Linked DNA regions of Rattus norvegicus. The protein of the gene in region 3 purifies or fractionates together with the protein of the main gene of each other region. This does not show direct contact. Links are inferred from orthologs where the notes say so. Each region holds a gene or a part of one and is shown on either strand. Other genes may lie near its edges. The genes, in order: Stub1, Tarbp2 and Ago1.

Region 1 (3,749 bases), on a different chromosome or scaffold from region 3:
AGCTGGTAGGTGGGGGTTGGGCTAACCCAAAAACTAGGGAATCAGACTATTTTTCCGTGCCCCTTCTCCCAGGCGCTGTACTTTCCTGATCGGTGGTGGCATGCCACACTCAATCTGGACACCAGTGTCTTCATATCCACTTTCCTTGGCTAGCCAACAAGCGACTGGCAAGCCCACTGCACCAGCACATGCCAATGTAGTGCTCACAGACTTTATTACAGGACAGTGGCAGCAGCAGCAGCAACCCACCCTCACCAGCTCTCCAGCCCAGAAGGGAGACAAGGGAGGCTCATGGCCCAGCAAGGGATATGCTGAGAAGGGGAGCAGTTCAGAACCCATCATCAGGACCGATGGGGGCAGGCCCAGGGACACAAACTATATACAGGGACTGGAGCTTCTGCCTCCAGACCCTCCTGGGCCAGGGTGCCAGGCAGGACATGGGGTATCAGTAGTCCTCTACCCAGCCATTCTCAGAGATGAAAGCATCAATGACTTCCTTCATGGCTAAGTTGGGGATGAGCTGTTCCTGGGTCAGAGGGCTCCGGGTCACAGGATCGAAATGGCCCACGCGCTGCAACGACAGAGTCAAGAGTATTCAATGGCCTGAGTGTCCCCTGATCCCAGTCCCGAGACCACAGGCCCTCCTTACCTGCAGGTGCTCCTCAATGTCCTTGCGGTCATAGGTGATGCCACTGGGTGTAATGCAGGGTTCCCGCATCAGCTCAAAGCTGATCTTGCCACACAAGTAGTCAGGGATATCTCGCTTCTGCAGCACAAGAGGGAAATGTCTGCAACTGGAAAGGAAGTCACCATACCAGAGCCTGCCCATGAGCTTCAAGGCTCCGTCCTTACCTTTCTTTTCTCATCCACCTGAGAGAAGAGCTCATTCATGTCCGCCATGTATTTATCCTGCAGAGTTGAGCGCCATGTGTGGGCAACTCCTGTCTCCTCCACACAGACACACACACTCTGTCCACCGGGGCACTCATGTCATGCATGGGCCAACAGAGCCACCATAGGCTGGGGCACTTCTCATGCCACACACAAAAACACACACACAACGACCCACATGTGGACTAGGGGCACCCTCACGTGCTTGGCCTCAATGCAGGCCTGCTGGGCCCTGATGTGGCCATCATCCTCATCACCCTCGTGGTTCCGCTGACACTCTTCCAGTTCCCTGAGGGTCAAGAAAAAGCCAGCTGGTGATGGCCCCAACAGGGAAATGACAGATCCCTTCCCATCTCAGGCCTCTTTCCTCCCGGGCTTCCCATGTACCGGCTGCTGTCCTTTAATAAACACTTGCACTGTTGACTCGGTGTTAACTGTTGGGGGCGGGACCCACCTCTCTCGCTCAGCAGCAATGAGCCTGGTGAGATAGGAGTGCAGCTCACTCTCCTGGTGGATGCGCCGTTCCTCGATACTGTTCCAGCGCTTCTTCTTAGCAATGCGAAGGGCACTAGGAATATCATCCCCAAAGTTGAGTCGCTGCTCCTTGGCCAAACTATAGGCTGGGGGAGTGGACACTTTAGGTTACACTTGTCAACAATCCTGGCCCCAAAGGTGCCCACAATCTGGCATCTTGTCAGCCCACCTCGCTGCAGATTGGCAATGGCCTCATCATAACTCTCCATCTCTAGCTGGCACTGCCCCAGGAAGAAGTGCGCCTTCACAGACTGCCCATCCAGCTCCAGGGCTCTCCGGCAGTCAGCAAGTGCCTGTTCAGGCTGCTGCATCTTCAGATAGCACAGGGCCCGGTTGGTGTAGTACACTGCCACAAGTGGGTTCCGGGTCTGGGAACCAAGATCAGGTGACAAAGAATGTGGGCTCATCTGATCCCCTCTCTAATAGCAAGCTGAAAGCCAATGATCCGGACAATTCTCCAGCATTGGGGGCCCATGGGTGGAAGAGAGGAACTGGAGATTTCCGAGTTATCAGAGCTCTGGATTCTAGCCATGCTCTCTTGCCTCCAACTGTTTTTGAGAAAAATCCCAGAACCCCTCCACCAGCTTTAGGCTTGGGAGCCTCAAGGGGCAAGAATTTCTGGTGTCATCCTTAGCTTGCCTCAATCAAGCATCCCGCCCGCCAGTCCCCAGTCAATCTGCCCTGGATTCGGGAACAGCAATCCGGGTCTAGGCTGCCAGAAATCGTCCGGGAATCACAGAACTGGGAGGCACATCGGGCCCCGCCCCCGCCCCCGCCCCCCGCACTCACGATGGCGCGGCCGTAGCAGGCCGCCGCCTCCGGGTACTTGCGGCCCACGAAGAGCCGGTTTCCCTGCTCCTTGAGCTCTTGCGCACTCGGGCTCTTATCAGGGCTGCCGCCGCCACCAGTGCCCAGCCGCGCGCCGCCCTCCTTTTCCTCCTTGCCCTTCATGGCGCCGCGCGGCACGGCTTGGGCTCCGCGCCCGGCCACCTAGATCTCGCAGCCCGCGCAGCTATCAGCTCCGCCCGGTCGGCGATCCGCCACCGGAACTTCCGGTGTGGGGCGGGGCTGGCATGGGGACACGTGAGCAAAGGCGGAGCCTCGCGGATTGAGCGGGTTCGCTTAGCCCGGAGAAGCTACCGCTGCGCTCTCTACCGGCCCCGCCCTACAGTAACTAGGACCTACCCTCAATATTCAGACCAAGGCTCCGCCCATTGGCAGTCAAGCCCCACCCTCCGGCCCACGCCACGCGAACGTGGCAGCGGTCCGTGCTGGAGAAGTGGCGCTCCGAGGGCCGGTCACTAGGCCCAGGTCCTAGCGCGCCACCGGGGCGCACGCGGGCTCATGCGGCAGCCTGGGAACGTCTAGACCGCTGGTAGGACGGCGGAATTGAGGGAAGGAGAGAGGCCCGCAGGTCAGACCACCCTCGAGAGGCTTCCTCGGGAATCGGGAGAAGCTGCCTGCGGCCATTACTGGCTGAGAAACAAGCACGTGACGCGTTGACTCGAAAGGACCTGCTGCGGTTGCTATAGAGGTAGCTGCGGGTCCGCGGCTGGACGCTCCCCTTCTGCGGTCATGGGGCGGAGCTTCTTCAAGGGCGGTGCCAGCAGGTTTCCGTGGAGAGAGCCTGCACCAAGACCCTTTGACCCCAGGTCTGTAGATGAGGCATTTTTAGCCGCTGCTGCATCAGCTGTTGGCCGCTAACATCCCCCACCCGGGACTTGGAGAAGCAAAACTCGGCTTTCTGCCGATCTGTGCGCCGCAGTCAAACTTCGCTGCGTGGTTTCTGCCACTGCCTCGAGTGAGTAGGGAGCATCTTTGCACAAGTTGGGTGGGGGCTCTAGGAACTCAAAAAAAAAATGTCCCCAGAACCTCCTTGTCACTCTTTGCAGTGGCTACAGTTCCTGGCTTGCTAACGCTGCAGCATACACTCAAGTACTACTTGCTGTTTCTAGCCCAGGTGCAAGAGCTCACTGCATTTCTGAGCAGGGGCCTGAGGGGTCACCCAGGACCCCATCATGGTTCCGATGGTTAGTAACTCGACCCCAGAACTCTTGTAGATCTCTAGTGCCTTAGAGCTGTCTGTAGACGCTTCATCTTGTGAAGAGAGCACTGCAAACTTGGACTATGGGCAGATGTATGCCCAGACCTGCTGCCTGAACTTCACCCCAACTGGTTCTCCCATAAGGACTATAGACCTGCCAAGAATTACAGGACCCAGGCCAAGTGAACCTGGCTCTGTCTCGGGCTTGCCTTTGGAAGGGAGGCTGCAAGAACCGGGATTGGAAGCTCTTGGAGCACAATAAACGACTGCTGAACTTGGA
Region 2 (2,766 bases), on a different chromosome or scaffold from region 3:
GTTTGAGACCCAAAAGGTACTCCAGGACCGGCTGTACTGCTCCTTTACCTCTGTCACAGGGATTTTACTGAAGTATTTCCACATCTAAATGCTACTAGGAAGTAGCGAGCCTCACTTGGTGGAGACTGGGGAGGGAGGAGCAAGGCTAGATGTTTGGACAGATAGCTGCCTGCCTGGTGAAGAATTGGGAGGTGGCAGTGGCTGGCACTTCATCCTTGTCCAGGACAGAAGGAACCGTTTTCCTCAGCGTTGGTCTGGGCCGTTTTTCCTTTAGGAGCCCTCCCATGGAGATGCAGCCCCCTGTCTCTCCTCAGCAGTCTGAGTGCAACCCTGTTGGTGCTCTGCAGGTGTGCCTCATCTTCATTGTCGTGTGTGCTGTCTTCTCTGAACTAGGGCCCTGAGGCAGGGATGTGCGCCCTCGTGGGTGGGGTGGTCCTCCTTCTCATTCAGAGGCTGAGGCTCTTGGTAGAAAGCCACTCGGGTAAGGAACCTTTCTTTCCCCATTAAACCTTGGACTCTTCTGTTTTTCTCTCAAGGAGCTGGTGGTGCAGAAAGGCTGGCGTTTGCCAGAGTACATGGTGACCCAGGAGTCTGGGCCTGCTCACCGCAAAGAGTTCACCATGACCTGCCGGGTGGAGCGTTTCATTGAGATTGGTAACTGGGGAAAAGGGGGTTCACTCACCTTCTCTCCGCCACACTATAGCCCCACACAAGGTGGCTCTTTGCCTGGCTGTGCTCTGTCCCAACTTTCTTTGCTTTGCAGCTCCTTGCTCAGTTCTTCCCTCCCTGTCTCTTCCTTGTCCCTGCCCATCTTTCCCCTCTTTTCTGGCTCATCAACTCCTCAGTGAAAACGAACAGGCCTTGAGCTCCTCTTTGCAGTTATCCCATAAGGGGACCTTCTATCCAAGTTAACTTAGAGGGAAAGCATTGGTCTGTTAGGAATCCCCAAATCGAACAATTCCTTCCCTATCCTCAGGCAGTGGGACCTCCAAGAAGCTGGCAAAGCGCAACGCGGCAGCTAAGATGCTGCTTCGAGTGCACACGGTACCTCTGGATGCCCGCGACGGCAACGAGGCTGAACCTGATGACGATCATTTTTCCATTGTAAGTGGCTTGTGTGGGCTCGCCATGTGGTTCACACTGCAGGACGTGGTGTGGAATTGGGTTGGGTCTGTGATTTGGAAGTGAGTTGGACCTGCTTCTCTACCAAACCCAGGGCTCTTTGAACCTGTGACACCTAGCAGTCCCCTCAGCCTATGTGTAGGGTCACTAGGGAAAGCTGGCCTAGGGCAAAGGCCCTGTAGCAACTTTTCCTGGGATGAGGAAGCCTGCCAGGGGTCAGAGTATGCCCTGTTCTTGGGTTCTTAGCTGCATTCTCACCCTTATCTCATTAGGGCGTGAGCTCCCGCCTGGATGGACTAAGGAACCGTGGGCCAGGCTGCACCTGGGATTCCTTACGGAATTCTGTGGGAGAAAAGATCCTGTCCCTTCGCAATTGCTCCGTGGGCTCTCTGGGGTCTTTGGGCTCTGCCTGCTGCAGCATCCTCAGTGAGCTCTCTGCGGAGCAGGCTTTCCATGTCAGCTATCTGGATATTGGTATGGCCAGCCAGGGACTGGGGATGGAGGGGACTGGATCAGAGCAAGTATAAAGGAGTTGGGAGATGGGTGATGTACACTGCTTGGTGCCCCTCCCCACCAGTGCCTCCCTCTTTTTTGGCTTCCAGAGGAACTGAGCCTGAGTGGGCTCTGCCAGTGTCTAGTGGAGCTGTCCACGCAGCCAGCCACTGTGTGTTATGGTTCTGCCACTACCAGGGAGGCAGCCCGAGGTGATGCTGCTCGCCGCGCACTACAGTACCTCAGGATCATGGCCGGTAGCAAATAGCACCCACTACAGTGATGGATATCTGTTACTTCTTGCTCCTTCTGCCCTGGGTCTATGCGTCTGCCTAGCTCTGGTGCCCTCCAGAGGTGCCATCTCTACCTCTGACACAGCTTGCCTGCCTTGAGACTGAGGAAGGCAAAGGCAAGCAAGGAGCCATGAACCACAGGGCCCCAGCCAGCGCAGGGTTTGCCCTCATTCCATGGATGATGAATGAAAGGAAATTGGAATTCTATTGGAATCCAGAATAAATGCTGCTCTTTGGCTTCTTAAACCCTGTGTTCTCTGGCCCTGGGTCATGAGGGTGTCAAAGGAATACACAGTGTTTGTTCTCCTTCTGAACCCCATTCTTTTTGCTACAGGCAGGAGGCAAGGTGCAGTAGCCTTGGGGACCCTCCAGCAGAATGGCTGGAGACTGATTGAGTGGAGGTAAAGGAGGCTATAACTATTGCTCTTGGGCTCCCACCCGTTCCCTGAGAGTCTTGTCCAAACACAGATGCAGAAGCCAGACCACTTTATTTGGGGGCACACATGGAATGTGGGGAAGTGATTTTGCATGCAGACATATCACAGCAGATGATGTTACTTCTTCCCAAAGCGCTGAGGAGCGGCCAGGCTCCAGAACTCTCTAGCCTGGGGACTTAGCTGCTCCTTGCTCCAGGGCCCCCAAGCATTTCTGCCAAACCTTAGGAGAGATTCATCTTTAGTCGGCACTCCCTGTATCTCACCTTCCCTCACATCTTCCTCTGCCCTCCTCCCTTCCCAGCCTCTGCCTTTTGGAACTCACCTCTGGGGCTGAAACAAGAAGGCTGGGTTCCTTCTAGGTCTCTCCATGGCCTGGAGCAGAACACGCATGAGGGACCCAGGAGTCTGGATCCTGTCTGGAG
Region 3 (3,649 bases):
AGCTTTGTCCTCTGTGCTGGGGCCCTCATCTGCATCACAAAGTGGCCGTCTGTCCCTGTCTGGGTCTGAGGGGAAGTGTCTTCCTTTCTCAGACTAAAAGCTGGGGGCAGGGCGAGGTTGGGGAGGAGAGACTGTACAGCTGTGGCGCTTTCCTGGGGATAGATAGAATGGCAAAGAGGTAGTTGTTTCCCCCTGCCTCCTTCCCTAGTTTGGGGATGAAGTGGAGAGATGTTCTCCATTTTCTCTGAACCCTGACCAGGAGCGTGCTCTCAGGCACTGGTGTGCTGTCCAGCTCTGGGATGGTGAGAGCTCCAAGGGGAGTGTCTGTCTCACCTCATCCCTGTAATTTCTGCTTTGCCCTTGGTTCTTCTAGAGGGATGTCTCTCAGAATTTCAACTGATTATTCAGACTAGGAGGCAAAAAGTGAATGGAATCCTAAAACTTGGGAAAGGGAAAGATATATCTGAAAAGGGACAAATGCTTCTGCACAGAGTTTGTGTTTGTTTGGGACAGTTGCAAGCATGGTTGTGTGGTTGTGCACTCTTGTGGTGTGCCTATCGGTTTGTTTGTTCATTTATGTGATATGAGCATATGAAGTACCTGTCTTTATGCCCGGCACTAGCTTGAGCTGTGATTAAGTCAAGTATGGTCCCTTCTTTTGAAACACTGAGTCCTCACTGATGGTGAAGAGCGTATGTAGAACGGTAAGCTTTAGAGCGCTTGCATGTGAGAGGGGTGCGTGTTTGTCAGTGGGGCTCGTATGCAGTATCCATTCAGCCCTTTCTGGGATAGGTGGGACTAGTTTATTAGTTCCCTTGTAGCTGAGTTCTGAGGGACTTGGTATTTTCCTCTGCAGAAAGGGGCTGGGGCTGATTTGACAGGTGGTTTAGAGGGAGTCAAGTCCTTCAGCTTTGGAAGGTGTGCACCTCCCACAAATGACCCACCTCTTCCTGACCCCCCTGCCTAAGATATGCTCCATACCCTCCCACCCCTGTCCCATCCCCCAGTCCTGTGTGTCTATGAAAGCAGAGCTCTGGTAAAGAGGGCGTTTGTCCCTCTTCCACCTATGCTGGTCCTCTCTCTGCTGGAAAGAACAATAGTAGCAGAGGACAAAGGCTCTACTTAGTGTACACACACACACACACACACACACACACACACACACACACACACACACACACACACGGAGTAGGAGAGGGAGACTGAGGAGCAGTCATGCTGGCCTATCCTAGCCCTTCCTTCCCCAAGGGCCCCTTCTGTTCTGAAATCGATCCTTTCTGCCGTCTGGACCCTCCCTCAGTGTGGAAAGATTTGTGAAGAATGGAAAGTGTCTTATATTCCCTTTCTGACCTGGTGTCTCCCCTCTTACTGTTCTTCCTCCTTCCCGAGCCTTTAGCTTTCTTCATGTGAGCTTTTATTTTCTTCCGTTTCTTCATTCTGCATCTTGATAGTTTTTTCTCTGTACCCCAACCTTGCCCTACCTGTACCCTTCCTTCCCTCCTTTTTCTACCCAATTCAAGGCATTTTCTCTTGTGACCTCCAGATCCGACCTTCTCCCCGCCCTGGCAGCCTCTTCTTAGCCTGCAGATGCTGTCCTTCTACCCTTTTCTTTCTGTCTCCCCAGAGCCAGCATTCCCTGTCTCAGTCCTGTCTCAGGCCCTGCCCTTCCCAGCCTGCCTTTCTTGAGGTTGTTCACCTGTCCACATTAACAGAGGATATCATCCCAAAGTTCTGGTGCCGTTTTGTGTTCTGGATGCTAATGAGTGAAATGAGCTTCTCGAGTAGCACAGAATCAATCGATCGTTCTTAAACTGGCATATACCTACCTGGTAGAGACAGGTGTCTCAATCTAGTAGAGATGGAGGAAAGCGTTGTGAACTAGGAACTTAGCTACTTTTCTTGAACTCATTACACATTTACTTGTTGAAGTTGTAGACACACATTTTCCTAACTGAAGAAAGGTTTAAAACAAAAATAAAAGTAAAATAAGCCATTGGAAAATCCAGTGAGCCTGGGAATGTCCAAGCTGGTGGAAGCCCCTGCTGGGTGAGGAAAGAGGAACGAGACCCACGGTCTTGGTCTGAGAGGCCTTGTCTGATCACAGCAGTTAGAAGATGGCCAGACTCTGTCCTCACTGGCTTCTTTGTCTTCACAGCTGCAGGTGCCTACCTGCCTCCCCTGCAGCAGGTGTTCCAGGCCCCTCGCCGGCCTGGCATCGGCACTGTGGGCAAACCGATCAAGCTTCTGGCCAATTACTTTGAGGTGGACATTCCTAAGATTGACGTCTACCATTACGAGGTGGACATCAAGCCGGATAAGTGTCCTCGCAGAGTCAACCGGTAAGTGATGACTGTGGGTGGCACCGAGTCCAATTTATTAAACAGGGAAAGAGGAAACATGTCGGCCGGAGAACTCTGTAAGAACAGAGCACATTCTAGCACTTGCTGAGATAGGTGACTCCAGAGATTTTAAGAATGAGACTTAGGTAAGGAGCCCGGTAGAGAAGGAGAAGTTAAAAGGCAAGGCTAAAATGGCGGGGGTAAGAGCAAGATGGATGGTGTTCTTGCTTGCAGGGGATGTTCCGGGATGCATATTTGGAGAGATTAATCGTAGAAGAAGCAGATTAAATTGGTTTATTATTACTGGAAAACCATATTCACAATTAAAAACTAGGAATTTTTTTCAACAGTCTTGAGTGTATTTTCAGATATTTTTCTGTGTATACATTCATTATAATATGGACATGAATATATAATACATTTATAGTAATATATTCCCATCAATTACTGTTATTACTTATTAATTATATTAATAACCATATATAATATTACATTATTACATATTATTGTATATGCGTATACACAAACATGTGCATACATATACACATTGGTTTTATACAAGTATTACATATAATACAATATATGTGCATTAATATGTGTATATATGTAATGTATGAGCATATATAATAATAATGTAAGATTCTATATACTTTGTTCAATATTGTCCATTTTTCTGTTTAACCATATATTTTGGAAAATAGTATATATTAGTATATATAAATCTGCCTTATTCTTTTGTGTAGAGCCCTAGATAGTCCTTGAAATGACCACATAATTTGCTTGATCTATTGTGGGATATTTAGGTAGAGTCTAAACTTTGCAACAAGATTGAAACTGTTAAGTATTATATAAAGATACATATTTTCACAGATGTGTGAGTGTATCTGTAAGATAGAAGTCCTAGGAGTGGAATGACTGCCACAAGGCAGTTTAAATTGAGACATTGTCCATTCCTGAGGCAGTGTCAGAAGAACTCAGGAGTAAGACAGAGGAAAAGATGATACAGGAGAGAAAACAGTGGTAAAACTTCCAAGAGCTGGAGAAAGGACTCCTACCCTGTATTTTATTATTTCTAGGCCAGTTCAGATCCGTTCCTTTCTTTCCTTTCCGTCTTTGTTTGGCAGACAGGATAGACCTGGGAACAGGCCCTTCCCCTTCAGAAGGTCTGTGGAGGTCTCATGATCTGAGGACCAACAGTATTACTGTAGGATTTTGGAAGTGTGGGTTCTAAGTGTGGGTTCAAATCAGAAGATGACTTTAATGAAACCTGATGATTCATAGGAATGTTGGAAGCTTGAGGTGTATTGCCA

What was found.
Region 1: the proteins of Ago1 (region 3) and Stub1 purify together in Homo sapiens (affinity purification with mass spectrometry; 3 studies listed by BioGRID and IntAct, with this or other methods). This does not show direct contact. The link is inferred for Rattus norvegicus from reciprocal best matches to the Homo sapiens genes AGO1 and STUB1.
Region 2: the proteins of Ago1 (region 3) and Tarbp2 purify together in Homo sapiens (co-immunoprecipitation; 4 studies listed by BioGRID and IntAct, with this or other methods). This does not show direct contact. The link is inferred for Rattus norvegicus from reciprocal best matches to the Homo sapiens genes AGO1 and TARBP2.

What each region holds. Positions count from the first base shown.
Region 1 is NC_086028.1:15,355,081-15,358,829, forward strand, and holds Stub1 (E3 ubiquitin-protein ligase CHIP), read right to left. Parts: upstream 2,480-3,749; 5' UTR 2,377-2,479; coding exon 2,215-2,376; intron 1,794-2,214; coding exon 1,595-1,793; intron 1,512-1,594; coding exon 1,346-1,511; intron 1,313-1,345; exon of another isoform or gene 1,181-1,312; coding exon 1,093-1,180; exon of another isoform or gene 910-1,092; coding exon 853-909; exon of another isoform or gene 767-852; coding exon 650-766; exon of another isoform or gene 572-649; coding exon 446-571; 3' UTR 198-445; downstream 1-197. Other genes in the region: Jmjd8 (jmjC domain-containing protein 8), read left to right, coding at 73-153. UniProt on the Homo sapiens protein: E3 ubiquitin-protein ligase which targets misfolded chaperone substrates towards proteasomal degradation.
Region 2 is NC_086025.1:135,530,674-135,533,439, forward strand, and holds the end of Tarbp2 (RISC-loading complex subunit TARBP2), read left to right. Parts: intron 1-274; coding exon 275-347; intron 348-536; coding exon 537-654; intron 655-976; coding exon 977-1,104; coding exon of another isoform or gene 1,105-1,108; intron 1,109-1,394; coding exon 1,395-1,596; intron 1,597-1,724; coding exon 1,725-1,882; 3' UTR 1,883-2,153; downstream 2,154-2,766. Other genes in the region: Npff (pro-FMRFamide-related neuropeptide FF preproprotein), read right to left, coding at 2,462-2,564, 2,667-2,766. UniProt on the Homo sapiens protein: Required for formation of the RNA induced silencing complex (RISC). Component of the RISC loading complex (RLC), also known as the micro-RNA (miRNA) loading complex (miRLC), which is composed of DICER1, AGO2 and TARBP2.
Region 3 is NC_086023.1:144,035,111-144,038,759, reverse strand, and holds part of Ago1 (protein argonaute-1), read left to right. Parts: intron 1-2,155; coding exon 2,156-2,339; intron 2,340-3,649.